Linked DNA regions of Tamandua tetradactyla. The protein of the gene in region 1 purifies or fractionates together with the protein of each later gene. This does not show direct contact. Links are inferred from orthologs where the notes say so. Each region holds a gene or a part of one and is shown in the gene's direction. Other genes may lie near its edges.

Region 1 (7,957 bases):
TGCTTCTAACTCCCTGCCTTCCCCCAACTACCCTTCAGATTTCTGATATTTGGCTCTCCCTGCCCTAAGACCTGGTATTCTTTTCTCTTCTGCCATGACTAATCAAAATATCTAAACTTTGCCTGTGAAGACCTCTCATCTTCTCAAGGTGACTGTAGTGGTAGTCATAGTTGGCCTTGCCTTCTCAGCTTTGATCTTTTAAGGAACAAATTAAAACTCAGTACTGAGCATTCATTTAGTAAATGCACTCATTCGATATTTATCCCTCTCTTCCCTACCACCTTTGTGTCATTTGTCTAGAAAGAAAAGGAATGTAGTAAGATACCATTTTTAACTCCGTCCTACCAAACTCTTAGTCATCCTCTATTTTCCTTGGGCAGTGAAACTCTCAAATTTCTGAGTACCCAGAAATTTAAGGACTGGGAGGGTACCATTTGGCTTTCCAGAAATGCATACCACTTTAGGTTGATTTGTGTCCTGCAACCATAGTTCTCTTATTTTGTTTCTCATGGTAAATAAACTAAATTTCTACAAGAGCTTCTTGGCTTGCTGTTTGTTTCTTGGACACTTTCTTTTTTTTTTTAATAATTTTATTTTATTTTTTAAATATCAAAAAAAGCCCACCAAATAAATGCAGACATTCCTATTTTGATCATTCTGTTCTACGTATATAATCAGTAATTCATAATATCATCACATAGTTGCATATTCATCATCATGACCATTTCTTAAAAAAAAATAAAACGAAAACAGAAAAAAAAAATTATACATACCGTATCCCTTACCCTCCCTTTCATTGATCACTAGCATTTTAAACTAAATTTATTTTAACATTTGTTCCCCCTACTATTTATTTTTATTCCATATGTTCTACTCGTCTGTTGACAAGGTAGATAAAAGGAGCATCAGACACAAGGTTTTCAGAATCACACAGTCACCTTGTGAAAGCTATATCGTTATACAATCATCTTCAAGAAACATGGCTACTGGAACACAGCTCTACATTTTCAGGCAGTTCCCTCCAGCCTCTCTACTACATCTTGAATAACAAGGTGATATCTACTTAATGCGTAAGAATAACCTCCAGGATAACCTCTCAACTCTGGAATCTCTCAGCTATTGACACTTTGTCTCTTTTCACTCTTCCCCCATTTGGTCGAGAAGGTTTTCTCAATCCCTTGATGCTGGGTCTTAGCTCATTCTAGGGTTTTTCTCAATCCCTTGATGCTGAGTCTCAGGTCATTCTAGGATTTCTGTCCCACGTTGCCAGGAAGGTCCACACCCCTGGGAGTCATGTCCCACATAGACAGGGGCAGGGTGGTGAATTTGTTTGTTGTGTTGGCTGGAGAGAGAGGCCACATCAGAGCAACAGAAGAGGTTATCGTGGGGGTGACTCTTAGGCCTAATTTTAAGTAGGCTTGACCTATCCTTTGTGAGGTTAAGTTTCATATGAACAAGCCCCAAGACTAGGGACTCAGCCTATAGCTTTGGCTGTCCGCACTGCTTGTGAGAACAAAAATTCAACTTGGGGAATATTTTTTTCTCAATGATTATTTTTAATTTCAACTTAAATAATTTTAATTTCAAAAGTAATAAACACTAAAAAAAGTACATATTTTTCACTTGATAAATGTTAGACATAGATCTAAATTGCTGTGAGAATGGTAGAAAGCAAGTATTCCCCTAGTCCATTTTTTACTGCATTCTTCTATCTATTGCTAGTTACAGCCAGTATTTATTAAACACTTTCCATTGCCTGTCACTGTTCCTGATTACACTGGTATTTTGCTTGTCATGTGAAAGGACTTAATTGGGTGAAGTGCCTTTGATTAAAATATGTCCTTTTTAAATTTTTATGTCTTTAATAAACAATACATTCACAGAATTCAAAAATCAGTGAGTGTGAAAAGCTAAACTGTTAAAAGTCTTCTTCCCGCCTTTTCCCTCAATATCCAGTTGTTATCACTTTCCCCCAAAAGGTAACCATTATTATGCCCTTAAATCCTTCCAGAGATTCTTTTTAATGTATAAACAGGCATATATGAATATATTCTTCCCTATCACCCTTTAATACACAAATGGAAGCATATTATTTAACAATTCTGCATCTGGTTTTCTCACTTAGCATATTTTAGACTTGTCCATATCAGTGTATTAGTTTCTTCACTCTATTTTTACTTCTCTGCATAGTCTTCCATTGTATGATATGCCATAATTTATGTAAGTTTTATTTATCAAAGACATTAATAAAGTCCTTTTTGATGGACTTTTAACTTATTTCCAATGTTGCTATTATGAACAAGGCTGCAATGAATAATTTGATCATGCACTGTATAGGTGGGACAAGTATGTTTAATCTCCTAGAACTGAAATTTATATTTTTTACCTTTATTTTGAGTTTCTTTCTTTCTTTTCTTTTTTTTGACATGGGTAGGCACCGGTAAATGAATCCGGGTCGTTGGCATGGCAGGGAAGAATTCTGCCACCAAGCCACCATCACACTGCTCTTGAGTTGCTTTCTTAAGCAGTGTCCCCAAAGCCCGCCTTCTCAAAATTTTGCATACTACTTTGATAACACTTTCTCAAGCTACATTCTTTCTGTAAACATAGGTAAGCTGGTGATAATAACTTTTTTGTGAGTTTAAAAATTAAATTACAGGGCGGTGCGATGGTGGCTTAGCAGGCAGAATTCTCACCTGCCATGCCAGAGACCCGGGTTCGATTCCCAGTTCCTGCCCGTGCAAAACAAAACAAAACAAAAACAACAAATTAATGTGAATATAAACAGTTGCGTGAACTGAGATATGAAAAAAGTTGGCGGTCCTTGCCTCTTCAAGCTTATCTAATTTAGGACATACATATGAAATTGTGAAATTAGACAAAATTTTGAGAAGCACTGAAGAATCATTGCTAAGTCCTTAAGAGAGTGATAAAGAAAGAAAATGCTATAAGTACTGTTTTGAAATAATGTTCACTGTACAATAGAAAGGGAACAGCGAGGTGAGTAAATACCGAGATAATAGAAAAAATTTAAAAAGCAGAAACAAGTTTAAAAATACAAAAAGGAAAATTCAGGCTTCTGTTTGACTCCCTCTCTCTTAATTCTCTCAATTACCATCTAGTATTTTCCTTATTAACATGCTTATATTTCCCCATTAATGTAAGGCCAATAGAAATACTAACCTGTAAATGGACAAATTTTATACATGTAAAATGTTATCAATAATAATTATGTAAGCAATTCAGACCTTAATGAGAAAGGTAACCTAGAATCAATTACGTGACAGGTGTTGGGGAGAAAAAGGGTTGCATAGGAAAAGATTTGACTATAGAAGTTTAGAATTGAAAAGGATTTTAAGAGTCCCAACTCTTAATGTTACATGTTTGTAATCTGAAGTCTACAGTGGTGGAGAGTTTTGAACAAAGACACAAGTTGATTTAGTGACAAAGCTGGGAACTAGGATTTGGGTCTTCTGACTCCCAACTCCTTCCGGTTTTCTCCTAAATTACACCACTTGTGCTTGAAAAAAAACATAGTAGATTTTGCACAGGTATAATTTTAGAAGCCTGTGTTAGATCTGTGAAGGAAAGAATGAGTACCTAACGTGGTGCTTGATACACAGAACCCAGATGTTTGTTTAGGAAGCTGAGGACCAAAAGGATGAAGTGACTTACACATTTTTTCCCACCTAGATGTGATTTCTCCCTTCTTTTACTTTTTTTATCCTTAACTCTTTTCAAATACTTCAAGTTTGTGTCATAGTAAGTGTGTATGTCTGTCTAGTCCTACTTTTAGCCCAATTCCCAAGCAGCTACATTAGGGCAGGGGCTGGTCCTGATTTATCTCTACATCCTCCATTGTACCCAGCACAAGATCTTAAACAATAGCAGATATCTCTAAGTACTACAATAGATATGTTGCATTCTGGCATATCTGAATGGGAGACATATTCCAGAGGAGGGAAGGAATACCCAGAGTTCTCCCTATCTGAGCCTATCCCACCTCACTCTCAAAATTAGATTGGGAGTTGGATTCTGTATGAGGAAAAAATAGGAACGTCCAAAGACTAGGTCAGGTCTATTGCTAACTACATTGATTGCTCTCTTGTTCAATTGGAAGGCCCCACAGTCGTTTTTTCTGCCTGAGTTGATTCAGCTAACAGTGAGTTATTAAATTCCTAGTCCTGTGTCCTTTAGTCAGATCAATCCTTTTGGAGAATAGGAAATGAGATAGCTATCCATTAAATTCGGCAGAGAAACATGCCTGATAAGCGTCTGGGGAGCAAAGAGTCGCCAATTAGTGCCTACTAAGTACCGGGCTCTAGTCTACAAGCTGGGGATACAGCAGTGGAGACAACAGGCAAAATTCCTTGCCTTCTAGATGCTTAAATTCTACCGGGGCAGGGTGGGGGAGGGAGATGGCAACAAACAAGGTAAATAATAAAATGCATAGCATATCAGATAGTATTAAGGCAAAAAAAAAAGAGTAAGTAGGAAGTATATATGCTTGTGTGTATGTGGGGGGGCGGGGAGTGCAGTTTTATTTATGAGGCCAAAGAAAGCGTCTCAGCGAAGATGACATTTGAGTAAAATACCAAAGGAAGTGCGAGAAAAATAATGGATTTCTACGGACCATAAATGTCTTCTTGGTTATATATGCGTAGCATCTGTTTATTTGTAAGCAGCTTGTAATAATTTGGTCCCACCACAGCTTGAGTAGAAATAATGAAACGGCTTCTTCTCTGGGTAATATGGGAAGCTGAAAGAAAGGAGGCCAGGCGCGGAAGAAACCAGGTAGAAGATAATTAATTCCCCTCATATTAGTTGAACCGGTTCTGACAGAAAAAAAAAAAAAAAAGCAAATTAAAGTTCCTGTCCCTTTAAAAATGGCGGCGCCTACTCGCTAACAATACCATTGGTTGTACAAAGCAGGAGGGGGCGGGGCGAGAGGCCGGGCACGTGGCGGCGCTGAGGAGTCCCGCCTCCTACGGCGAGTCGTAGGTAATAAGATGGCGGCCGCTGAAGACAACTGTGAGGTTACGGCTGAAGCGGACCAAGAATTAGAAGAGCTTTTGGAAAGTAAGAGTCAATAACTGGAAAGGCCCAAAGGAGGCGGGTGTGAGGACCCATTCAGGGGATTAAGTGAACCTGATATATGTGGGGCAGAGTGGGAGAGGCTCTCCAAAGGTTGGACGGGGGCGGGCGAACCAGAGTGAAATCTCTGGATCACCCTCTCCCTACTCAGCGGCGGGAGCTGCGGAGTTCACCTTGGGTCCCTGAGCGGCCCAGACCGTTGATCTCTCTGGGAAGATATCCCAGAGATGGGAAAACTGTAACCCATAGGACGATATCTCTCCAAGCTCTCCTTGCTTTAGATCAATACATTCTTTAAGTTTGACTTCCTTTCCGCCAGCAGCAGCATTTTGTCCTCCGTGGACAGCGAAGCAGATACTTATAGATTGTTCACATTAAATCTTCAAAAGCCCTAGATTGTCTTTCAGTGCCCCTGGCCTGTCCACACAAAAGACACTTCGTTCCTCCTCCCGTTATTTTCACCCTTCTCTCACCCCTTTCCAGTTCTTTGATCCTGTCATTAACTCTAGTGGATTTCTGCCCCATTTGTTTAAGAAACTGAGAGACGACCTCAGGGGAAGCCAATTCACTCTCATAAAAGACGATGTTCTTTTCTTCTTTTCCCTATTCTTCACAACTCTGTTGGTTTCTTGCCCAGAGTGGGGTCAGTGCCCTCCCCCCAGGCCTGGCAAGCAGAGTGGTGGTGACATCACACGCTTTACAGGGCGGAGGTGAATTTTGCGTCTCTAGCTCAGTCATAGTGATTGTGGGAGCGGGGTGGGGGGGGAGAGGGGTCAGAAAGATGAACAGAAACAGTGGAGGAGTGTCAATTGAAGGTGAATTGGCACGTGATTATTTGCAGAGATGAGACCAGAGGGATAATTAAATTGGACAACAAGAGAAGATTTAAAGCCCTCCCAGGGAATGCATAATGTAGTCCCGCAGTTTGCAATAGTACCAGGTCTGATAGGAAGCTAATTAAGCCTCCCATGAATTAAACTAAACATCATGGTTTCTGTTTTCTTGCCTAAGATTATTCCCTTTACGTCTCCAAAGTGAGTTCAGGGAGCTATGGATATCTATGTTCCCTACTCCTGTTGGATATTTGTATAGAATTTCTAGGGAATCATTAATAGAATGTGTTGAGGAAGGCACAGTAGAGATGGAGGTGTACTTTGCTATTTGCAGCACTTCCTTTAACCTTCTTCCAGCTCTGAGACATATTTGCCTATTCTACCATAAATGATTTCTTTCCCTTTGACTGTAGTAAATTAGGTAATGGGGAGGGAAGTGGGAAGCTTACTGTGGTGTAGGTGGGAAGGGAAGACTTAAAAAAGAAAAAAAAATTAGGAAAGTTGGCAGTTTGTAAGATCATTCTCTTAATGCTTTGTCCCAAAAGCACCCAGCCTTGCATCCTTACCTGTCCTCAACACACTCCCCATGTCTCTTGTCTCTGAAGGTGCTCTTGATGATTTCGATAAGGCCAAACCCTCCCCAGCACCCCCTCCTACCACCATGGCCCCTGATGCTTCGGGGCCCCAGAAGAGATCGCCAGGAGACACTGCCAAAGTATATATTCCACCCACTTAAGGGAAGGGGAGGGAATGTTCTTGCAGCTCTGAGCAGAGGTGGGGCAGGGCAGGCCCCTGTGGGCCAGAGGGGAGTGGGGCATGGTGCCTTGGCCTCACATTGCTGAGTGCTTTTGCAAATGTCTGTCCTCGTGAAACAAGGACTTGAGATTGAGTGGAGGAATCTAAAGGAAGTTCCTTGAGAAAAGAGAAGGTTTAAATAGCTGGCTTGGGGTGCCACCCTATATTCTTCCCTCAGTGGTTGGATGCCTTTCTTTCTGTCCTCATCAGGAGAGGCAGTTAGAATCTCCAATGGAGGTGAGTAGGAGGGAAGCACTGCATTTCCTTAGAGCCATTCTCTGTGGCTTCTGCTAGGGCCCAGGTACAGTGAAATGCCAAGTAGAAGATGCATTTTGACCACCCCTCCCTTGCAGGATGCCCTCTTTGCCTCCCAAGAGAAGTTTTTCCAGGAACTGTTTGACAGTGAGCTGGCTTCCCAAGCCACTGCAGAGTTTGAGAAGGCAATGAAGGAGTTGGCTGAGGAAGAGCCCCACCTGGTGGAACAGTTCCAAAAGCTCTCAGAAGCTGCTGGGAAAGTGGGTGAGAAGGGGTCTCCAAACAGCAGGAAATACATAAGCAAGCCATTTAAGTCATATCTGCTTGAGAACACCAGAATTCTTAGTAAGGTTGACAGTAGTCATGATGCCACTGCCTTGGGGTCAGGTGAGGAGATGGAGGGAGGAGTGGGAACCCTCCTTAGTGAAAGGGATGAGATAGGTTGGAAAGTAATAGAAATGATTATTCAAAACTGATCATTTTTAAGATCACAATGTTATTCTGGGTGTCATCATGCAGAATAAACAGATACACAGTCTGTGCAGATTCATGACAATGACTAAGATACCATAGAGTAGTAGATTTAGTGTGGTAGTGATTCAGTAGTATTTGTTCCAGATCCGAGCTTGTAACCAGGTCAGTCTAACCAAGTAGACAGTTACAATCCTAAATGACCCTGGTTTTTTTATTGCTCCCAGGCAGTGACGTGACCTCCCAACAAGAATTCACTTCTTGTCTAAAGGAGACACTAAGTGGACTAGCCAAAAATGCTACTGACCTTCAGGTAAGGGGATAGGGGCGGGAAACTACAAGACACCATCACCAACAGAATCTCAAAAGACAAAAGCTCTTGGGCATCATTCCAAGTCCTTCGCTCCCTTACTGTTTTGCTACAGGCAAGTGTAAAATAGTTCTTATCTGGGCTTCAACTTTCCCAAATGAGGGAGTGGTGACATATACCAAGAAAGCAGTATAGTTAC
Region 2 (7,110 bases), on another chromosome or scaffold:
TGAGAATGATAGAGGGAAGAGGGCTGAGGGCACAAATGAAATCAGAAAGAAGGATAGATGATAAAAACTGTGATGGTATAATCTAGGAATGCCTAGAAAGTATAATGATAGTGATTAAATGTACAAATTTAAAAATGTTTTGCATGAGGAAGAACAAAGGAATGTCATTACTGCAGGGTGTTGAAAATAGATGGTAATTAATATTTTAAAATTTTAACTTATCTGTGAGTCTAGAGCAAAAAAATGTTTTTTTGGTACAAAATTTATATTTTGACTAGTGCAGTTCCTAACATAACTTATGTGGACAGCTTAATTGAACACTGTATGTACATGGAACCTTGAGTAGGGCATAAGATTTGGTAGGTTTGTCCAGAGTGATGCCCTAATAAACCTCAGAGTGATTTGAACAGTGAGTAAAAAAGTATTTGCAAAGTCCCCTTGGGGGAATGGTGAGAAAGGGGGAAATTTCAACTCTCCCCAAGTGGAGAATTCTTGATATTCTCATAAGCAGTGGGGACAACAAAAGCAATAGGCTGAGTCTCCAATCTTGGGGCTTGTTCATACGAAACTTAACCCCACAAAGGATAGGTGAAGCCTACTTAAAATTAGGCCTAAGAGTCACCCCCAAGAGAACCTCTTTGGTTGTTCAGATGTGGCCTCTCTCTCCAGCCAATACAACAAGCAAACTCATCACCCCCCACCCCCCGCCGTCTACATGGGTACATGAGACATGACTCCTAGGGGTGTGGACCTTCCTGGCAATGTGGGACAGAAATCCTAGAATGAGCTGAGACTCAGCATCAAGGGATTGAGAAAACCTTCTCAACCAAAAGGGGGAAGAGTGAAATGAGACAAAATAAAGTATCAATGGCTGAGAGATACCAAACAGAGTTGAGAGATTATCGTGAAGGTTATTCTTATGCATTAAATAGATATCGCCTTGTTAGTCAAGATGTAATAGAGAGGCTGGAGGGAACTGCCTGAAAATCTAGAGTTGTGCTTCAGTAGCCATGTTTCTCGAAGATGATTATATAATGATACAGCTGTCACAATGTGACTCTGTGATTGTGAAAACCTTGTGTCTGATGCTCCTTTTATCTACCTTATCAACAAATGAGTAAAACATATGGAATAAAAATAAATAATGGGGGAACAAGCATTAAATTTAGTAGATTGAAATGTTAGTGATCAATGAAAGGGAGGGGTAAGGAGTATGGTATGTATGAATTTTTTTTCTGTTTTCTTTTTATTTCTTTTTCTGAATTGATGAAAATGTTCTAAGAAATGATCATGATGATGAACATGCAACTATGTGATAATATTGTAAATTACTGATTATATACGTAGGACGGAATGATCTATGTTAATGTTTGCATTTGTTTGTTGTTATATTGTTAAAAAAAATTTTAAATAAAAAAAAATGGCAATTCTGTCCCTGATTCAGATAAGTTCTGAAATCTAGAAGGCCCAGCCTGTCGAGAACATCAGATAGTTTCATCTCCTTAACCCCTATATTAGTGTTAGACCCTTGCAATATGAAAAAGTTAGAATGGCCATAGCCCAAACACCCCTAAAGAGAGAGAAAGATCAAAGGTGATGGTGGAGTTATACAGTGACAATAGGATTTATCAAATGAATATGAATGCTGAATCATTAAACTGATACCTTTTTTAGTCTCGAGTATCTTAGAGCAGCTAGAATTAAAAGCCTAAAATCGTGGAATTATAATCCATGTCAAATTCTGAAATATGTTCTACAACTAATTGTGGTGCTGTACTTTGAAATTTATTGCTTTTTTGTATACATGTTATTTTTCACAAAAAAAAAAAAGGAGAAAAAGTTGATTGTGATGATAAAAAAAATTTAAGCCTTCTAGCCTCCTATATTCTGGAGCAGTTAGAAGGAAAAAAATCTGAGGTGATCATATGGCAGCCCATGACAAACTTTGGGATCTGCATAGTAACTACTTGTTGAACAGTGCTTTGAAAACTATTGCTTTTTTTATTTCTTTGCTTTGTATACATGTTATACCATACAATAAAAAAAAAAAATACAGACAAAAAAATGGCAACTCTGGTCTCTCACATGGAAGCCGTCAGCTATAGCTAAAAAGCAGCAACTACCTTTGGACAAGTGTTCTAGTTTGCTAGCTGCCGGAATGCAACATACCAGGAATGGAATGGCTTTTAAAAAGGGGAATTTAATGAGTTGCAAGTTTACAGTTCCAAGGCTGAGAAAATGACCCAATTAAAACAAGTCTATAGAAATGTCCAATCTAAGGCATCCAGGGAGAGATACCTTGGTTCAAGAAGGCCGATGAAGTTCTGAGTTTCTCTCTCAAGTGAGAAGGCACATGGTGAACACAGAGTTTCTCTCTCATCTGGAAAGGCACATGTCAAACACAGTCAGGGTTCCTCTCTCATCTGGAAGGGCACATGATGAACATGGTGTCATCTGCTAGCTTCTTCTCATGGCTTCCTGTTTCATGAAGCTCCCCAGGAGACATTTTCCTTCTTCATCTCCAAAGGTCGCTGGCTGTTAGACTCTGCTTCTCGTGGCTATGTCATTCTGTTCTGCACTCTCTGAATCTCCCATTTTTCAAAATGTTTTCTCTTTTATAGGACTCCAATAAACCAGTGAAGACCCACCCAAATGGGTGGAGACATGTCACCTAATCCAGTTTAACAACCACTCTTGACTGGATTACATCTTGAGGGAGACGATCTAATTACAGATCCAAACATACAGTATTGAATAGGAATTATTCTGCCTTTATGAAATGGGATTTAGATTAAAACATGGGTTTCCTAGGGGACATACATCCTTTCAAACCAGCACAACAAGTAATGGCTGGCCCTCCAGTTTTCCATCTGGTGTCCCTTGCACTAGGCAAATTCTTACAGTAGAGTTTTAAAGAACAAAAACGAAACATTTCCTGTAACCAAGTCTTTATCAAAAGATGAAAACAGAAAGACAAGAGGATATATGCTTCAGGGCGGGCCACGGTGGCTCATGCCGGAGAACTCGGTTCGATTCCCAGTGCCTGCCCATGCAAAAAAAAAAAAAAAGAGAGAGAGACTATATGTTTCTTTGAGGAAATGAAGAACATTCAATGGTGATGAACAGAACTACAAAGTATTTCTGTTGAATGAATATATCTTAAACAAACAACAAGCCAAAGAAAGTTAGGATTGTGATTTGCCCTCTCTGTGCTTCACTCACTTATGTGACCTGCCTGACTCCGGAGGACATCTGACTTTGAAAACCCACATCTAGATTGTCTGGACCCAACCTTATTGGAAATGCTGACTAGCATCCAATCTCCCTTGAGTTTCGAGTTGATGGAATAAATTCCTGATGTTAACAGCTGTTTCCTTCCAAGCTAACCTTAAGGGTCTAAGAAGAATGGCCAGGAACATTGTTCGCGAGGTTTGTGGAGACCTGTTAAAATCTGATACAGGCCTGTAAGGAAGTGGTCAAAATCCAAGCCCTTTAATCTCTTAGTGTACAATTCCAGTACTTCAGTTTTCAAAGCGCTTCCTACCTTCTGTCACCTGGTGAGCTTTACGAAGCGGGCAGGAGCAGGAGTCACCAGATGAGGGCACACCGGACAGTGGGGACCGGGAGGCCAAGCGCCCTGCTGGAAGTCACACGAAAGCATGTATCAGACCCAGACCTCTCTGCCTCCCCAAGCCTTCCGGAGGGTGGCAGGTAAACGGCAGGAAAGAGAGAAGTGGAAATGGAAAACAGGGATCTGCGAAGAGGAGGCAGGCTGGAAGGGGCAAGGAAAGGGCAGGGGAGAAAGAGATGCAGGGGGGTATACGGCCCTGGAAACAACCTAAGGGAAAGGTCTTCTTGTCCGGAAGGTGAGAAGGTGATAAGCAGAGGCGGCTCGTCTGAGGCTGTCCAGAAACCTCATTCCACCAATGGCAAAACGGAACCCAGAGATGAGGTGGTTTGCCCATTTCTGACAGCAGGGTGGGTGGGAACTAGAACCTAAATCTGATCCCAGTCCAGGTGCGAGAGAGACATGAGAAGGCATGAGGCAGGCAAGGAAAGGGAAAGGCTCTACCGCTAGCTGGTGAAGCCGTTAGCTGTCAAGGACCCACAGGGGTTCAAACACCCTTAGCAAGCGACTTTGAAGTTGCCGCTTAAACGCGACCAAAGCCTCCCGCAGTTTCCGGGTGGAACGCGGCGTCGGAAATGCCCCACCGGCATTCGGGGACTTTTCGGAACGTCCCGAGAGACGGTCAGGAGCTCGAAAATCGAGGCAGAGCTTTTGGACACGTCAGAGCAGGAATCTAGCATCAAACTGCCGCCGATAGTTCAGAAACTGCATTTCCTGAGAAGCATTCGGGAATGTCCAAGATCACCGGGGAATGGTGAGGGAGCAGGAGAAATGAACCGAATGACACTCGGGAGTTTCCGGAGCTGTTCGAGGCCCATTCGGGATCTCTCGGCTCTTTGAGACCCATTCAGGAGTCTTAGGTCTCTCGTTGCTCCGTTCAACGCCTGTGTCGTGCGGACGACGCGTGCTAAGTCCAAAAGCGTTCGGGATCGGCCTGAGAGTGGCGCCCTCCGACGGCGGGAACTGTCACCACTTCTGGCAAGGCCTCGGTCGGGGGGCCAGCACGCGCAGACGTACTTAGTCCCTGGCGGCCGCTCGGCCCGGACGTGGTTGCCGTTGAGGTCATTTCCGGCGGGTGACGGTGCGGACGGGTCAGAAGCGTAGAGGCGGCGGCAAAATGGCGGCGCCTGAGCAGCGGGATCTAACCCAGGAGCAGACAGAGAAGCTGCTGCAGTTTCAGGTAGCAGCGACTACTTGGTGCGGCAAACGCCGCGGTGAAACGGGGGATGGGTTCCCCGAGGAGCCCAGAACCCTCCTTAGATTGGGCCCAGGCGGGATCCTTCTTAGATCAGCCGGCAGCCCCCTCCCCCCCAGATGCCAACTGCCCTGCATCCCTGGTTTCCCCGAGGCCCGGATCCTCTCTGGGTGCCCGGCCGTCCAGCCTCTTTTCCCTATCTTTTTATCCTTGGCGGGTCAGTTGCCTCAGGTTTTCCTCAGCGGCTCCCGTCCTCAGCCATCTTTCCCAGCCGGGCTACCGGTCGGACCCTCTCCGCCCAGCGCCTACTCTACAGATGTGTCGGAGGTGCTTAATCCCTCCCGCGGAGCTGGCTTCATTTCGGGTCTATGAAAAACTTCCTACCTGCAGGCCCTGTCTGTTCCTCCTACATTTACTGCTGGCCTCATGGCTGTCAGGTTTCCTCTTTGGTGGCGGAGAGGGCGCCTGTTGGCGGGTCTGGCCCCTCACCCTCAGAATCTTAAGTATTGACAGCGGCTTCTGAAGGAGCTCATTATTCAGGATTTATTCCTGGACTACTGTGCTTGACTGTGCCTAAGGAGGGTGATAACTTGCAGGGGTCTGCCTCCTTTTATTGGCTGTTGTGTTCAGTACATTTGGCACTAGGCATTTATCTCAGAGCTTGGAATCTGGTTGGAGAAGGCCACTAGGGTGGGTAACCTTGGCTGTTTGTTACCTTGGTGGATACCAGTTTCCTTATCTCTAAACTGTATATCTTAAAAATGTCTCCCTTCAAAGGATGTTGTAGAGATCAAGTAAGCTTATGGAGTCAGAAGTACTTTCTAAACTGTAAAATGCTCCCAACAATCTGCTGCCGTTCATTATTATTTAAGAAAGTAAAATTAGTGGTACACCTAGTTCTGCAATATTTATCAAGAGCCACAGTGCTCAGGCACTGTTAGGTACAATACCATTTATTGAGCATTTACTATAAGCACTTTGCCAAATGCTTAGCATACATTATCTTATTTAATACTCACAATAACCCTATGAGGTTGATACTGTTAGAGTCCCTGTTTTACAAGTGAGGACTCAAAGGCTTAGGCAGTAATATGCCTAGGTTACACAACTAGTAAGTGGTGGTGCTAGATTGAAAGTCAAGTCCATCTTTTCAGAACCTTTCTCTGGCTCTTCTGTGCTGTGCAACCTATATGTAAGTTTTAGTGTATAGCTGAAGGAGTGGAATGCAAATACTGTGATGCTAAGTTGTGCTGTGTTTTTTCATGTGTGCAAGTTCTCACTTTAATGTAATTTCCTTGAGTAGATTTCCCTATACTTAATTTTGAATTTTTTTGTCTTCCCTCATGGAATGGGTTCAAAGTATATAAAAGGAAAAACGATTGAAGAATTAGCTGACATTTGTTTAGAGTTTTTGAATAGAGAAATTGATGACACAGCAAATTAGAATCAAAGATAGATGAACAGTGGACAACTAGCTTCCATTTTCTACTAGATCACCCATTTCATTGGGAAGACCTTTTTACCCTTCTTACAGGGGTAAGTCCCAGTGTTTTAAGTGTAATGAGTTGATGTAAGTTATAAATAATGATGTGCTTGGTCTGGTATCAGAAGAGCATGAATATGTGGTAGTATTTCTGAGGTAAAGTGCATAAAAACTTCCATTTTGTTTTCGGTGGACATCTAGATCAGTAAGAGAGGTGGGTAGTAAGTTAAAGTTGTATTAAGGTTGCTTTATGAAATTGGGTTTAAGGAGGAGATACAATTTGCATTTATATATTCTTTTATTCACCTCTTGATCATATTCATCATTCAGATTACCATTAAACATTCTTTGAAACTTACTAGGTGTCAAGTGTTATACCAGGTAGTTTAAATCTCTTATTAACTCTGTAAAGTGTTAACCCGTGTTTATTTTATTAATGAAGTAACAGGTTCTGCAAGGTCAAATAATTCACACAAGTAGTAAGTGACAGAGGTTTAGAAATCCATATCCATAGCCATCTTACCTATAACCTTATGGGAGAAGCCAGATTTAAACACAGATAATGGGTATCCTGCAAGGTATTAGTGCTTGTGATGTAAAGTGGTATGAACACAGTGCTGTGAGAGCTTAGGAACAAGTCAGAGTAATTATGGTAAGGGGGAAGAAGTATGTCTTATAGTTACCTTTTATTGAGAATCTGCTATGCCCTAGGCATAAACATATAACTATTATGTTTAATCTTCACGGTAGCCTTGTAAAGCATAATAAGTGGTATGCTTACCTGCAGGTGAGGAAACAGATTTG
Region 3 (7,490 bases), on another chromosome or scaffold:
GGATGGACCTAGAGAACATTATGCTGAGTGAGTCTAGCCAAAAACTAAAGGACAAATACTGTATGGTCCCACTGATGTGAACAGACATTCGAGAATAAATTTGGAATATGTCCTTGATAACAGAGTCCAGCAGGAGGTAGAAACAGGGTAAGATAATGCCCAGTGGGAGTTGAAGGGATACAGACCGTGTAACAGGACTAGATACAAAAACTCAAAAATGGACAGCACAATAATACCTAATTGTAAAGTAATCATGGTAAAACACTGAATGAAGCTGCATCTGAGCTATAGGTTTTTTTTGTTTTGTTTTGTTTTGATTTTACTATTATTACTTTTATTTTTTTCTCTATATTAACATTCTATATCTTTTTCGGTTATGTTGCTAGTTCTTCTAAACCAATGCAAATGTACTAAGAAATGATGATCATGCATCTATGTGATGATGTTAAGAATTAATGATTGCATATGCAGAATGGTATGATCTCTAAATGTTGGGTTAATTTCTTTTTTTCCGTTAATTAAAAAAAAAAAAAAGAGAAGGGATAATTGGAGCTGAAGGGATACAGACTGTACAACGGGACTGGATATAAAAACTCAGAAATGGACAGCACAATACTACCCAATTGTAATGCAATTATGTTAAAACACTGAATGAAGCTGCATGTGAGGTATAGGTTTTTTGTTTTTGTTTTTGTTTTTCTTTCTATTATTGTTTTAATTCTTATTCTGTTGTCTTTTTATTTCTTTTTCTAAATCGGTGCAAATGTACTAAGAAATGATGAATATGCAACTATGTGATGTTATTAAGAATTACTGATTGTACATGTAGAGTGGAATGATTTCTAATTGTTTTGTTAATTCTTTTTTCAATTAATTAAAAAAAAACAGCTATAGGAATTATGTGTATGAAACAAAACATTAATGTCTAAACCATTATAGTGCTTTATGTAGTGTTTCTTAGTAAAAAGCTAATAAAGGTAAGAATTTCTTGAAAAAAAAAATAAGAGTGAAGGAGTATATATGCACAACTATATATACTGTTGGACTTCTCCTTTTCTACTGAAGATTATAATCTATTCCCTCTCTTTTGGTCCCTCCCTGCCTCCCCTTGCCTAGGAAAAATCACAAATGAACCAGTACAGTCTCCAGGTTTTACTGACATCATTCTCCTATTTACAACTGCATGCTAACTGGAGTTACAGAAACATTGGTTGCAGCAGAACTAAACATGAAAAATGCAGTATGTCCTTCTGGGATGCTAGGGTCTAGATATCAAACTGAACATGGATTAAAAAATAGAGATACAGAATTGTTCTGAGAGAAGAACTATTTCTCAAGGAAATTTACCTTTCTCAGTTCTATAATATCAATATACCCGTCTCAAACTTCTCAAGCTTCTCTCTGGTTAGGCTCTTCTAATAGCTCTTCTTACAGTTTTTAGCACAAACTTTAAATAAAGTACCTGGATGAAGACTTTTGATCCCAGAACTATTCAAATCTGCTCTGATTTCAGACCTTAGAATCTCACCAAACTGCTCATACTCTAACTCTACAGTGTGATCCCATCTAATGGACAAGATTACAGATTCTAAAGCGTATACATTTTGGGCAGAAGCCCTATTTATTTCCTACTTACATTCTCCACTCCTCAAAAACGTATGGCTAAGAATCCATACCCCAGGCTTTTCTGTCTGAATACAAATACATGAGCTACTCTATAAAGCAGTCGGCAGAGGGAACATGTACGGGTCTTGAATTAGTGCCGGCCGGGGGGTGAGAGGTGGTGCGTGCACTCTACTTGCTCGTGGCCTCGGCCTCACAGGCACAAGTAGATACACCCGCTCCCACTTGTGCCAGCCTGCTTTCCTGACGGTTTCCCTAAGAGCTCTTCCAAAGGGCAGTACATTGTTCCAAAGAACAGTTCTTCCCCAACTCTCCATGGATATTTATTCCTTCCCTTCTGCCACCCCACATCTCCCAGGATCAGACTCTAGCCTCTTGCTGTGTGTTTCAACGCTCCTAGGATACCACAATTCTTTTGATGAAGCTATGTGACCAGTCCATCTGAGCACTATTAGATTTCTCTGCAAGGTGAGAGTGTTTCTAAGATATTGATGCCACTTAACCCAGCAATGCTACTTCCAAAGCCAGGGAAACTGATGTACAGAAAAGCTTTGTTTTTAATATACAGATGTTCATCATAGCTTTATTTATAACGGGGAGAGACGAAGCAATCTAAACAAGCTAAATATCCAAAACAGGGGCCAGGAAAGGAAAATTTATGGACATATATAAAAACCAAATCTGATCAGAATTCAGGCCCTTAGTTACCATAACATATCTCACCTGTTATTGATTTATAAACAGAAACAGACACAGAACTGCTTAAGAAAACCTGGGTCCCCTCCACTGAAGAGCAGAATGACCATATTCCAAGATTAGGGCCCTTACATCACGAGAGTACAACCGCCTGTGGGAAATAAAACGGTGCCCCCTCCCAATCCCTGGCACCTGTGAATACGTGCCCCTGCACGGCTAGGGCGCTTTGGAGATGGGATCAAGTTAAGGATCCTGAGATGGGGCAATAACCCGGATTATCTGGGTGGGTCCTAAATGTGACCACAGTGGTCCGCAGAAGGGCCAGAGCCAGAGGACAAGACTGGAAGGTGCTACGCCGCTGGCTCTGAGGATGGAGTCTGCCACAAGGCGACAACGCAGTGGCCTGTGGAAGCTGGAGGAGGTGAGGGGCGGCCCCAGAGGGCATGCGCCCACTGCACCCTGGCAGCAGGACCTGTGACCTCACAGCCTTACAAGGAGAGGCAGTATTACGTCGGCAGCTAACCCTGTGGTAATCTGTCACAGCAGCAATGGGGAACAAAACCTTCAGCATACTATATGACTGTTCAATCTCTAAAATATCGAGATTCACCTGTAAACCCAGAAAAAGTGTATTCCAAACGTTGCTGAGCACTCAGGCTCATTCTGAGGCCTAGGTCATGATTGAAATAAGCCTCCCACACTACATTCCTCCGAATCACCCATGTCTTCTCCTCACATCAAGTGAGTCGAATTAAGTGGATTCAAAAACTGCTAACTCTGACTCCTACAAAAGCTAAGAAATCAGGATAATAGTAACAAAATAATGTCTCCCGTTTACTGACTACTCTTCCCGTGACAGCGTGGTCTGTGCTGCGTTCTTCTCCCCTGACCAGCCTGAGCCCAGGGTACTGCCCACTGCCCACTGCCCACGGGGCTCTCGTAGCTCCTCGGCTGTGTCAGGGTTAAGTGAGCGTCTAGACCCCAGCTGCAGCACCCAAGAGCAGTTTCATTCCTAGGAGAGCCTTGCATCTGCTGAAAGGACAGCAGCCGCGAGCCGGGTGGCCGCGCTAAGGGCACAGGTTTCTCCACAGCCTGCAGGTATGAACCTCACATCTCCAAACCCCAGGTTCAAGTACAAAACGCTGACAATCACGGCATCTGTCTCCTGGGGCTTCACGAGGACTCGACCAACGAGAATAAAGCACGGAGCCCAGCTGCTGGCCCATCTGTCCGCGCAGGGCTGGGCTTCGGGGCGCCCTCCGGCCCCCGGCCTTGTCCCGCCATTCTCGTCCACCTCCGCCCTCCCACCCGACTTCATTCTCGTTTTACAGGTTCTGGGGAAGATCCCGACACAGCTGTGGAAAAAGGGGGTCCCAAGGACAAGTATCTAAAGAAGAAAACAACGGGACAAGGCGAGACGATGCCGAGAAGATCCCGGGGCGGCAAGGAGTGCGGGCTGCCGGGACCGGGGCGCGGAGACGAGGCGCGGGAACCGGGTGCGGCCCCGACGCTCCAGCAGCGACCGCAGGGCAGAAACCCGGGCTCGTCGGGGGCAGCCCCGGGGTCGCCCCGGAAGCGTGGAGGCCTCCCGCCCCGCGCCGCCCGGGCCCCGCACTCTGTCCACTTCCCCGGCGGGGCGGCTGCCTCGGGCGAGGACGGGTCCAAGACCAGGGCCGAGCCCCGTCTCTCCGCGCAGCCCCGGCCCCGCCGCCCCGCCGCTCCTCGCGCCGCGCCCCGGTAGGGGTCGACCCTCACCGGCTGGCCTCGCCGTCCGCGCCCGGCTCCACGCGCCGACGCCCGCCGTGCGGCAGAACCATCGCGCCGCTCCGCCCGCGCCTCAGACTTTCCCGGGGAAAAGTTGGCGCGCTCCCGTCAGCTCTCGCGAGAGCCCGGCAACGCCGGAACCATCCAGTCAAGGAGCCGCGGCGCGCCCTGCCCCCTGGCGCTCCCATTGCCCCCCGCGCCCGGGGGCGGGGTCGCGCGGGTCTCGGAGTGGCGTGTGCGCAGGCGCGCGCCCGCCTCGGGCCCCTTCCAGGCCCTTTTACCGCCCGGTCCCCGGCCCTGGCCCCTCCCCGCCGCCCCCGGCATTGACCACCCCCGGCCCTGACCCCAGGACCATGACCCCCGCTCCTCCCCTCGGACCCTGACCTCCCCCCCTCCGTCCTCCGTCTGTCACCCGGATCCCGGACCCTGACCCCACGGGTCTGTGGCAGGGAACTCGGGGAAGGCGATGGCGCCGGTAGCCTCAAGGCTGCGGGGCGAGGCCGGGTTCGGGACGCTCCCGCGGCGGGCACTGGCCGGGTACCTTCGTCTCCTGCGGCTCTACCCCGTGCTTACCAAGGCGACCACGAGGTGCGCGGGCCGAGTGCCGGGGGCGGGTGTCTCGGGGGGGCCAGACCTGGGGAAGGGCTGGGGGACCCGGGGCAGGGGGCCTTGGAGCTAAGGTCCCGGGAGAGGCTGGGGGTCGCAGGGCAGGCGCCTGGGGGGCCAGGCCTGGGAAGGGGCTTGGGGGTGCAGGGCAGGGGGCCTGGGAGCTGAAGTCCAGGGAGGGACTGGGGGGCATAGGGCAGGGGCCTGGGAGCTGAGGTCCCGGAAGGGGCTGGGGGGCACAGGGCAGGGGGCCTTGGAGCTGAGGTCCAGGGAGGGACTGGGGGGCATAGGGCAGGGGCCTGGGAGCTGAGGTCCGGGAAGGGGCTGGGGGGCGCAAGGCAGTGGGCCTGGGAGCTGAGGTCTAGAGAGGGGCTGGGGGGCATAGGGCAGGGGCCTGGGAGCTGAGGTCCGGAGAGGGGCTGGGGGTATGGGGCCTGGGAGCTGTGGCCTGGGGAGGGGTTGGGGGTGCAGGGCAGGGGGCCTGGGAGCTGAGGCCCGGGTTGGGGCTGGGGGGTATAGGGCAGGGGCCTGGGAGCTGAGGTCCTGGGGAGGGGCTGGGGGGTATGGGGCCTGGGAGCTGAGGTCCTGGGGAGGGGTTGGGGGTGCAGGGCAGGGGGCCTGGGAGCTGAGGCCCGGGGAGGGGCTGGGGGGTATAGGGCAGGGGCCTGGGAGCTGAGGTCCTGGGGAGGGGCTGGGGGGCATAGGGCAGGGGCCTGGGAGCTGTGGCCTGGGGAGGGGTTGGGGGTGCAGGGCAGGGGGCCTGGGAGCTGAGGCCCGGGGAGGGGCTGGGGGGTATAGGGCAGGGGCCTGGCTGGGGGGTATAGGGCAGGGGCCTGGGAGCTGAGGTCCTGGGGAGGGGCTGGGGGGCTAGGGCAGGGGCCTGGGAGCTGAGGCCCGGGGAGGGGCTGGGGGTGCAGGGCAGGGGCCTGGGGGGGCCAGGCCCAGGGAGGGGCTGGGGGGCACAGGGCAGGGGGCCTGGGGGGCGCCGGGCAGGGGGCCTGGGAGCTGAGGTCCAGGGAGGGGCTGGGGGGCATAGGGCAGGGGACTGAGGGGTGAGGCCTGGGGAGGGGATGGGGCACGGGGAAGGGGCCTGGGGGGCAAGGCCCAGGTCAGAGGTAAGGGTCACCGCTGCATCCTGGCACAGTGCTGCCCACAGAGCGCCCCGTTACTGCATGGAGGAGGCGGGCCCAGCAGCTCCGGCCTGTGCCACAGGCAGGGTGAAAGTGCTCCATCATCTCAAGGACTCTCCTGCTGTCCTTGGGGAGCCACATTCGCCTTCCTCCCCTCCCGCCACCACAGGATACTCTTGCTGAGCTGTAGTGTACTGTCATATAGTGTAGTCACAACCAGGAAACACACATGGGTACAGGCACCAGCCTTACTCAGATTTCTCCAGTTTTCCCCGTAGGCATGTGTGTGCGTGAACATTGCATGCATGTATGTGTGTGTGTGCATGTGCGTTTGCTAAGTCCTGTGCTCCATTTAGGGAACTTTGACGGCAGCCTGTTTATTATTTTTTACATGGGCAGGCACCGGGAATCGAACCCGGGTCCTCTGGCCTAGCAGGCAAGCATTCCTGCCTGCTGAGCCCCCGTGGCCCACCTGACAGCCTGTTTAAAGACTTGTCTCGGTCCACCCGTGCAGGGTCCCCGAGCACCTGTGAATATGCCCGCAGAGAAGGGGCGCTCAGACTGACTGCCCTGGTTTCTGATTGCTCTGTCTGCAGCGGCATTTTGTCAGCACTTGGGAACTTCCTGGCTCAGCTAATTGAGAAGAACCAGAAAAAAGAAAAACGTTCCCAAAATGTAGATGTCATTGGGCCTCTCAGATATGCCATTTATGGGTGAGTGTCAATAAAGCTGGTTTATACCAAAGCAGACTAAGAATCAACAAAGCAGTTTTTTTGAATCATCTAATTTGAAAAAGCAATCTTTTTTTAAAAAGCATTGAAGTAATCATGATGGGAAAAATCAGAATGGTGTTGGAGTTATCTTCACTTACTTTGTAATTTAGTATGCTTTTTTATTTTGAATTGTATGGGTGGCTAGGGGTGGGGGGCATTTTAAAATGGACTGAGAGACGGACAACATAGCTCTCCAGAACCTAAAATCAGACTCCAAGACTGAGAGACCCTGAAAACATCCTAGGCTCGTGGGAGAGTGAAACCAACTCAGATAGGGCCGATATTTTCATGGTGTAAACACCAGAAAAGAATTGGGTATCCCTCTGAAATTCTGCAGTTTGTGAGCCACTTTCTGAATTGCAAAAGCAGAGATTCGGGAGTCTTACCCAGCCACACCCACCGTGAGCTTCTGTCTGAGAAGAGTGTGCTCAGTGGTTGTTACGAAGTCTTCTGCATCTGGAGGGATTCTTTAAAATTCAAAGTTCATAGTACCATTGTGTGCCTGTCAGCACACTAATGTCAGTCCTCGTGTCTCTCCCCTCATGTATTTAATGCAGAAACTCTCCAGGGAGGGCAAATGTATCAGAAGCACCCCAAAGGAATTATCCAATTACATAGTCTTCTCATCCCCAACATTTTATTTCTCTTCCCTGCTGAGAATCACTGCTATTGGGCATTTAATGTCTTATAGTGGGGAAAAAACAACTGTGAATCACTTGTTTAAAGATCATTTCAGTGTCAGAAGTTGAAAGAGTCCTGGATCCCTGCTCCCCTTTTTATTGCTGAATGTTTTGGAGTTGCAGGCCCCTCACCCCACAAGGCCAGGCACTGGACTCATTCCCTTCCCAGTGCCCTTCGTCCTGTGGAATGAAAGGTAGCAGTGGTGCCTGTGCAGCTC
Region 4 (8,031 bases), on another chromosome or scaffold:
GAAGCCACGGAAGGTAACTTGAGGAGGGAGTGACCAGAGACGTTGCCGAAACTGACCACTGCATTCAGCCCTTTGGGGGTGGCTGGGGATCTCATCCAAGCAGCTTGGGACTGAGTGGGGTAAGGTGAGAAAGACAGCACCCAGTTCCCAGGTGGGCAGTGGTGTTGCAGGGTTGCCCTGCCTTGGCATTGCTGCCCTTTGGGTCTTTGGCCTTGTACGATGGTGAGCAGTGTGCCTGGCCTCTAAATGCCACTAGCCCTCTGCCTGCCCCACCAGGTGCAACATCGCACAATGTCTGCAGACACTGCCCAGTGTCCTGGGGGGCAAAGCTGACCCCGGTTGAGAAGTTGCAATCCACTGGTGTAGAGGTTGGAAAACCTGGGAAGGCTCATTCTTCTCCAATGCCTTTATTTCCTCTGTGAAATAATCCACAGCAAGGCTGCCTGTTCCAGGAGCAGGAGTGGGAGGTTAGAGTTGGAGGTTTGAGAAGAAAAGAAAGGTGGGCAGCCGTGTGTGTGTGTGTGTGTGTGTGTGTGTGTGTGTGTGTGTGTGGCTGAGTGGTGCAGCCTGGGCCGTGGGGGCAGCAGTGAGGACACACACTCATGGTTGTGGTCTTCCTCTTTCCGTGGCCCTGCTTGCCTGTGGCTGGGTGTGGCAATGGCACTGCAGGTCAGGGAGTGATTGTCCTGGTTGGGCCAGGAGGGGGTGAGGGCGTGAAGGAGGGATGGCCAGTGGGCGGCATACCTGGTGGACCCTGGGGGTTAGGAGTTGGGGTACCAGAGTGACGAGGGGCAGTGGAGTGCCGGAGGCCACTCAGGAAGGGCTTCAATAGAGTGGAAGAGTTCAGGGTGCTGGAGTTGGGGTGGGGGTGGGGCAGCCAGCCTCCTGGAGGAGAGTGATCTGCTCCCAGCTGGCCCCGGGCCCTCAGCCAGGTGGGCTGGGGAGGGGCATCCTAAAGGGCCAGCATCTGGCTACAGCATCTGGGCAGAGATGGAATGAGAGCCCCGGCCCTCCTAACCCAGCACCCCCCCACCAGGTGTGATGGTTGGCTCCCACGGGGACATGGCGCCCGCCTCCACTGCAGAGGGGTCTGCGGACAAGCCTGGGCCCACGGCGCCCGCAGCCCAGTACGAGTGCGGGGAGTGCGGGAAGTCGTTCCGCTGGTCCTCGCGGCTCCTGCACCACCAGCGCACGCACACTGGAGAGCGGCCCTACAAGTGCCCCGACTGCCCCAAGGCCTTCAAGGGCTCCTCGGCCCTGCTGTACCACCAGCGGGGCCACACTGGCGAGCGGCCCTACCAATGCCCCGACTGCCCCAAGGCCTTCAAGCGCTCCTCGCTGTTGCAGATCCACCGCAGCGTGCACACGGGCCTGCGGGCCTTCTCCTGCGCCCAGTGCGGCCTGGCCTTCAAGTGGTCATCGCACTACCAGTACCACCTGCGGCAGCACACGGGCGAGCGGCCCTACCCGTGCCCCGACTGCCCCAAGGCCTTCAAGAACTCGTCCAGCCTGCGGCGCCACCGGCACGTGCACACGGGCGAGCGTCCCTACGCGTGCGGCGTCTGCGGCAAGAGTTTCACGCAGAGCACCAACCTGAGGCAGCACCAGCGCGTGCACACGGGCGAGCGGCCCTTCCGCTGCGCGCTCTGCCCCAAGACCTTCACGCATTCCTCTAACCTGCTGCTGCACCAGCGCACGCACGGCGCGGCCGCCGCCAACGCGCCCGGGGTTCCCGCGGCCCCCCAGCACCGCTGCGTGCCTTGCGGCAAGGTCTTCGCCTCGGACGCCTACCTGCAGCGGCACCTGCAGACCCACAGCCCGCCCGCCCCGCCCCCGCAGCCCGTGGTCCCCGAGCTCTTTCTGGCAGCTGCGGAGACCACGGTGGAGCTGGTGTACCGCTGCGATGGCTGCGAGCTGGGCTTCGGCAGTGAGGAGCTGCTCCTGGGCCACCAGCCCTGCCCCGGGCCCGAACCGGCGCCCCAGACCCGGGACTCTCCCGTCCCCGCGCCCGGGCCTGACCCGGGCCCAGCTCCCGCGCCGCCCCCACCTTCTGCCCCAACACCTGCTGCTGCCCCGGGCTTCGCCTGCCTCCCTTGTGGGAAGGCCTTTCGCAGCGGGGCCGGCCTGTCCCGCCACCAGCACAGCCACGGGGCCGCGGGCGGGCAGGCCTTCCGCTGCGGCAGCTGCGACGGCGCCTTCCCGCAGCTGGCCAGCCTCCTGGCACACCAGCAGGCGCACGTGGCAGAGGCGGCTGCCGGGCGCCCGCCCCCGCAGGCTGAGGCGGCGGAGGTCACCTGTCCGCAGGAGCCCCCTGCGCCGGCCGCTCCCGCGGTCACCGAGCGGCCCTATCAGTGCGCCGAGTGCGGCAAGGCCTTCAAGGGCTCCTCGGGGCTGCGCTACCACCTGCGCGACCACACAGGCGAGCGGCCCTACCAGTGTGGCGAGTGCGGCAAGGCCTTCAAGCGCTCCTCGCTGCTGGCCATCCACCAGCGCGTGCACACGGGCCTGCGGGCCTTCACCTGCGGCCAGTGCGGCCTCACCTTCAAGTGGTCATCGCACTACCAGTACCACCTGCGGCTGCACTCGGGCGAGCGGCCCTACGCTTGCGGCGAGTGCGGGAAGGCCTTCCGCAACACGTCGTGCCTGCGGCGTCACCGGCACGTGCACACGGGCGAGCGGCCTCATGCGTGCGGCGTCTGCGGCAAGAGCTTCGCGCAGACCTCCAACCTGCGGCAACACCAGCGTGTGCACACGGGCGAGCGGCCCTTCCGCTGCGCGCTCTGCCCCAAGACCTTCACGCACTCCTCTAACCTGCTGCTGCACCAGCGCACGCACTCGGCCGAGCGCCCCTTCACCTGCCCGGTCTGCGGCCGCGGCTTCGTCATGGCTGCCTACCTGCAGCGGCACCTGAGGACGCACGCCCCCGCGCACCCGGCCCCCGGCGGCGCAGCCCCCGCCGCAGCTTCCCAGCCTCCAGCCCCACTGGCGTCTGCCGCAGCCCCGCCCCCCACCCAAGATGTCCATGTTCTCCCTCATCTGCAGGCCACACTCTCCCTCGAGGTGGCGGGCGGCCCCACCTCGGCCCCACCTCCGAGCCCAGCAACCCCCAACTCTCAGACGTTCCTGCTGGTGCAGACGGCCCAGGGCCTGCAACTGATCCCCAGCAGTGTGCAGCCCCCTACCCCGCCACCCCCACCCGCACCCCCAAAGGTCATCCTGCTGCCTTCCCCAGCTGCTGGAGGAGGGGTCAGCCGTGTACGGCAGGGCCGGCGAGCAGTGGGGAAAGCTGGCCAAGGAACTGGTGTGGTCTGGCTACCAAGCCCTGGGGGGCTGGGGGTGCAGGGAGCGGGCAGTGCAGGGGCCAGTGGGGGAGGGCAGAGTCTCATTGTGCTGCAGAACGTGGGGGGTGGGGAGGCAGGACCACAGGAAGTGAGTGGGGTCCAGCTCCAGCCCCTCCGACCAGCCCAGGAGGTGACCACCGTCCAGCTGCAGCCGGCCCAAGAGGTGACCACCGTCCAGCTGCAGCCGGCCCAGGAGGTGACCACCGTCCAGCTGCAGCCGGCCCAGGAGGTGACCACCGTCCAGCTGCAGCCGGCCCAGGAGGTGACCACGGTCCAGCTGCAGCCTGTGGCAGGCCAGCTCTCTAGTTCCAGTGGGGGGACTGTGGCCGCTGAGGCCCCCAACCTCCTAGTAGTTCAGAGTGAGGCCACGGAGGAGTTGCTCCCAGGCCCTGGCCCCGGTGAGGCGGGGGATGGCGAGACCAGCACCGGTGTGGTCCAGGATGTCCACTTCGAGACGCTGCAGACGGACGAGGGCTTGCAGAGTGTCCTGGTGCTGAGCGGGGCCGATGGGGAGCAGACCCGGCTCTGTGTGCAGGAGGTAGAGACCCTCCCTCCTGGGCTGGCCGAGCCCCCAGCCCCTGGCCCGCCAGGACAGAAACTCCTCATCATCCGCAGCGCTCAAGCCCCAGAGCTAATGGAGAGCAGCAGCCTGGGGGGAGGCCCGGCCACTCTGCAGCTGCTGGCCCCTCCCCCGCCTGGCCCAGGCACTGGCCCCACCGGCCTCCCCGTCAGTCCCACCTCCCAAATGGTACAAGTGGTCCCCGCTGGGGCTGGAGGCGTGGCGCAGTCGGGCCTGCCCTCCATCCAGATTGTGCAGACTCTCCCGGCAGTCCAGCTGGTGCACACTTTTTGAGGAGACCCGCTGGTACCCCCCGGCTCGTGTTCGGGCGGGCGGGAGTGGATTGTAGGCTGGCTTTGTTAATAAAGACTCAGAACCTTCTCTCCTTTGTTTGCTTTGGCGGGGAGAGGAGAGGGAGGGGGGAGAGGAGAGGGAGGGGGGAGGGGCGAGGTCACGGTCACAGCAGTGGCCTGGGCCCCTGGAGTCTTCGGTCTTGCACCTGTGACTTTTGGGGCCAGTCTTCTCTGGGGGCCGCTTCCCGTCCTTAAGAAGGACGCCTGTGTTTGAAGTCGCCCCGCCCTCATTTGAACAACGGGCGTGGGTGGGCACTTATCTCTAAGGGCGCCGCGGGCCCCGGCGCCCGGTGGGCTGGGGTGGACGGTCCCGGACAGAGCCGCCCGGCTCGGGCCGCCAAGTGCGGGGGCCCCGGCGCGGGTAAGTGCAAACCCGGGCGCCGCGTCCCCACCCCGGCTCGGCGCTCAACTCCAGCTCCGCGCCCGGGTCGCCTAGCAACGGGGCGTGGGGACGCGGAGTGCGCAGAGGAGGGCCGTCCCCGCTCCTTCCCCGGCACCCTCGGCCGTGTGCAGCCACCCCCGCTCCAGCCCGCGGCCGGTTCGCCCGGGACCCCCGCCGGGACGCTGGGCCGCGGGCGCTAAGGCGGGTGCAGGCGTTCCCCCGCGGCGCGAGGCGCGCGTCACTTCCGCCCGCGACCCTTCCCGACCCCGCCGCCCTGCCCCCGCCCCGGGCCGCCGCGACCCCCTGGACGGCCCTGCAGGGCCTCGCTCCCGCGGCGCGCGCCGGGAAGGGCTGGTCGCGTCGCGGCGGCCGATGTGGGAGCTGGCGCCGGTGACCCCCGGTTCCCGCTGACTGCGCGTTTCCCGCAGGCCCCACCGTTGTCCTGCCGGGCACGGGCCGGGGCTGCCATGGCCCCCGGCCACCTGTCGGTGCGGGAGATGAGGGAGGAGGAGAAGGCCCTGGTGCTGGAGATGCTGAAGGTGAGAGCCCGAGCGGGTGCAGGCCGGGGCCAGCCCCTGCCGCCCGGCCTTCCCCTCCCACCCCGCCGCGCGCGCCCCGTCCCTCTCGCCTTCGCCCTCCCCAGGTCTCAGCTACCCCGGCCGCGGCACCCACTGCCGTCCCGGGGCTCCTGGCTTCCAGCCTGCTCGGCCCGGCCGTGGCCCCCCCCTCCTGCCATCTCCAGGGGCCCGCCTTAGGCCCGGACACCCCCACCGGGCCCCCTTGGGACCGAGCACTCGCTGCCTGGAGGAGGATGCCCTGAGACCCCTCCGGGGTCACGTCCCTGGTGCCCACCAATGGGCCTGGATTGCCGTGGGGGCGGCGCCCAGTTCACCCACCCACTCACTCACCCCCTTTTTCATTTCATTCATTCATTCACTACTTCATTTGTTCATCCATTCAGTGGCTTATTCATTTGTTAATCCACTCTTCATTTATTCATTCATTCACTCATTACCCATTCCCTTCCTCACTTTTTCAGTCCCTAGCTCATTCATTCATTCATGCTTTCACTTATTCATTTATTCATTAATCCATTCTCACTTATCTATTCATTAAGTCACTCATTCATAGATTTGCTTATTCATGATTTGCTCATTCAGGCACTCACTTGGCCATTCATTCATTCACTGTTATCATTTGCTCACTCAATCATTAATGCTCCACATTCATTCACTTGTTTGTTTATTCATTTACTCATTCATGTGTTCACCAGTTCACTCATGCATTATTCACTAATTCACTCATTCATTCCCTAATTAACCCCTGCATTCAACACTCTCATTTGTTCATTCAACAACTCGCTCACTCACTAATTCACTCATCTTTTCACTGCCTGGCTCACTCACTCATTTATTCACTCACTCACTCACCCATTCTCACAACTCATCTATTTGTTCACTCATTCAGGCACTTATTTGGCAATTCATTCACTCACTCATTCATTCATTTATACTCTTGCCCATCCATTCATTCATCACTTGTTCATTCACTCATTCACTAACTCACTTGTTTGTCCATTCATTCATTCACTCATCCATTCATTTGCTCATTCCTTCACTCACCCATCTAACACCCAGTGCACAGAATTCTGTGAACAGAGCAGATGTGATCCCTGCCTGTCCCTCCACCACAGACCTACCACCTGCCTTCCCTTCTTGTCAGTCAGTCCTCCTACCGGCTGCTGCTGCCCACTGCCTCTGTCCCTGCCTCTGACCACCCCTCCCACCTGCAGGCCGGCGTGAAGGACATGGAAAATCGTGTGGCCCTGCATGCTTTGACGCGGCCGCCAGCCCTGCTCCTCCTGGCGGCAGCCAGCAGCGGTCTGCGCTTCATCCTGGCCTCCTTCGCCCTGGCCCTCCTCTTGCCCGTGTTCCTGGCAGTGGCTGCCGTGAAGATGGGCCTGAGGGCCCGGTGGGGCTCACTGCCTCCTCCAGGCAGCCTGGGGGGCCCCTGGGTAGCAGTCCAGAGTTCTGGTGATGTGTGCGGGGTCCTGGCTCTGGCCCCCCACCCACATGCGGGAGGCGGGGCCCAGGTCACCCGTCTCTCTGTCTCCCGCTGGCACCGCCGCCGGGGTGTGGGCAGGAGGCTGCTGGCCTTCGCTGAATCCCGAGCCCAGGCCTGGGCAGGTGGCATGGGGGAGCCCCAGGCCCAGCTTGTGGTCCCAGTGGCTGTGGCAGCTTGGGGGGTGGCAGGGATGCTGGAGGGCTGCGGCTACCAGGCTGAGGGGGGCTGGGGCTACATGGGGTACATGTTGGTGAGAGAGTTCAGCAAAGACTTGTGACTCCAACCGGCCTGAGAGCTGGGCTTGGGCCAGTTGCTCCCTTCACCACAGCCCTTTGGGGGAGGGTGAGTGGTCCCTCAGCAAATCCCCAACCCACCCAGGACTCAGAACCCTAAGGCCCACTGAGGGGAAGGGACCCACCGCCGCCTGCCTGACATCTGCAGTGTCGAGCATGTAGCGTTTGAGCCCCTCAGAGTGGAATCCCTCTTTTCCTTCCCATTCCTAGGGGGACCCCAGAGCTCAGCCAGTCCAACCCTCAGTTCTTTCTGCACTAAGAAATCTCCTGGTCCATTTGTCTGCAAAGCTCTGTTTGTGCTTCAGGCCTGGGAGAGATGTTTGTGGAGCAGGACGCCGAGCAAAGAGGGCTCCCAAGAGTTAGGTCTTGAAGGCCTTCCTGGGAATGGGCTGGGGCTGCCAGTAGAGGGCATGCACTGGGAAGTGGGGCTCTGGGGCCGAGAGGTGGGTGCAGGGCTGCTGCGGGCCCCTGGGCAGAGGAGCTGGAGAGCTGAGAGGGCCAGGAGCCCCCGCCCGCCCCCGTTCCTCCAGACCCATCTGGTTTTTAAGGCATTTGTTAATAAAGCCTGAGATTGCTGTGCGTCTGTCCCTCTCTTTGATGCCTTTTCCAGTCTCTCTCTGATCCCCCCATCCCCCCTCCGTCTGGCTCCTCCCTTCCCCAAGTTGACATTAATTGGTGTGGGAGGGAGGGCCTGGGAGAAGGGGGTGATGAGCTCACAGCAGCCTCGGTCCGCCCTTCTGACTCACAAGCCCCATTACCGAATTTTTTCCGCCTCACAGCTGCTGGTGCAGAGAGCGGGTCTGAGTATATGAGTGAGAGCTAGAGAGTGGAGGGTGCTGCTCCCCCATCCAAGTCTTAACTCTCAGCCCTCCCGCCCCCTCCCATTTTTCTCATCCTCTGGGACCACTCAGACGGAGGGAGGGCTTTGCAGTCAGATTGACTGGGGGGGTAGAGTGGTTCTGTCTCCTTTCCTAATCCGGAAGTCCTTCCTGCTGTCTGGCTGTAAGCCCTCTCACTGTACCAGGAGCCCCACATGAAC

What was found.
Region 2: the proteins of PEX19 (region 1) and FAF2 purify together in Homo sapiens (affinity purification with mass spectrometry; 4 studies listed by BioGRID and IntAct, counting the BioPlex papers as one, with this or other methods). This does not show direct contact. The link is inferred for Tamandua tetradactyla from reciprocal best matches to the Homo sapiens genes PEX19 and FAF2.
Region 3: the proteins of PEX19 (region 1) and PXMP2 purify together in Homo sapiens (affinity purification with mass spectrometry; 3 studies listed by BioGRID and IntAct, counting the BioPlex papers as one, with this or other methods). This does not show direct contact. The link is inferred for Tamandua tetradactyla from reciprocal best matches to the Homo sapiens genes PEX19 and PXMP2.
Region 4: the proteins of PEX19 (region 1) and NAT14 purify together in Homo sapiens (co-immunoprecipitation; 3 studies listed by BioGRID and IntAct, counting the BioPlex papers as one, with this or other methods). This does not show direct contact. The link is inferred for Tamandua tetradactyla from reciprocal best matches to the Homo sapiens genes PEX19 and NAT14.

Annotation. Positions count from the first base shown.
Region 1 is NC_135330.1:13,332,783-13,340,739, reverse strand, and holds the start of PEX19 (peroxisomal biogenesis factor 19), read left to right. Parts: upstream 1-4,947; 5' UTR 4,948-5,009; coding exon 5,010-5,079; intron 5,080-5,850; exon of another isoform or gene 5,851-5,875; coding exon of another isoform or gene 5,876-5,909; intron 5,910-6,532; coding exon 6,533-6,642; intron 6,643-7,075; coding exon 7,076-7,241; intron 7,242-7,675; coding exon 7,676-7,761; intron 7,762-7,957. UniProt on the Homo sapiens protein: Necessary for early peroxisomal biogenesis. Acts both as a cytosolic chaperone and as an import receptor for peroxisomal membrane proteins (PMPs).
Region 2 is NC_135346.1:57,868,307-57,875,416, forward strand, and holds the start of FAF2 (FAS-associated factor 2), read left to right. Parts: upstream 1-4,011; 5' UTR 4,012-4,745; coding exon 4,746-4,808; exon of another isoform or gene 4,809-4,967; intron 4,968-7,110. UniProt on the Homo sapiens protein: Plays an important role in endoplasmic reticulum-associated degradation (ERAD) that mediates ubiquitin-dependent degradation of misfolded endoplasmic reticulum proteins.
Region 3 is NC_135331.1:1,211,195-1,218,684, forward strand, and holds the start of PXMP2 (peroxisomal membrane protein 2), read left to right. Parts: upstream 1-4,331; 5' UTR 4,332-4,549; coding exon 4,550-4,671; intron 4,672-6,415; coding exon 6,416-6,532; intron 6,533-7,490. UniProt on the Homo sapiens protein: Seems to be involved in pore-forming activity and may contribute to the unspecific permeability of the peroxisomal membrane.
Region 4 is NC_135342.1:4,247,147-4,255,177, reverse strand, and holds NAT14 (putative N-acetyltransferase 14), read left to right. Parts: upstream 1-4,957; 5' UTR 4,958-5,102; coding exon 5,103-5,174; intron 5,175-6,427; coding exon 6,428-6,976; 3' UTR 6,977-7,571; downstream 7,572-8,031. UniProt on the Homo sapiens protein: Probable acetyltransferase. May act as a transcription factor that regulates the expression of coproporphyrinogen oxidase by binding to a promoter regulatory element.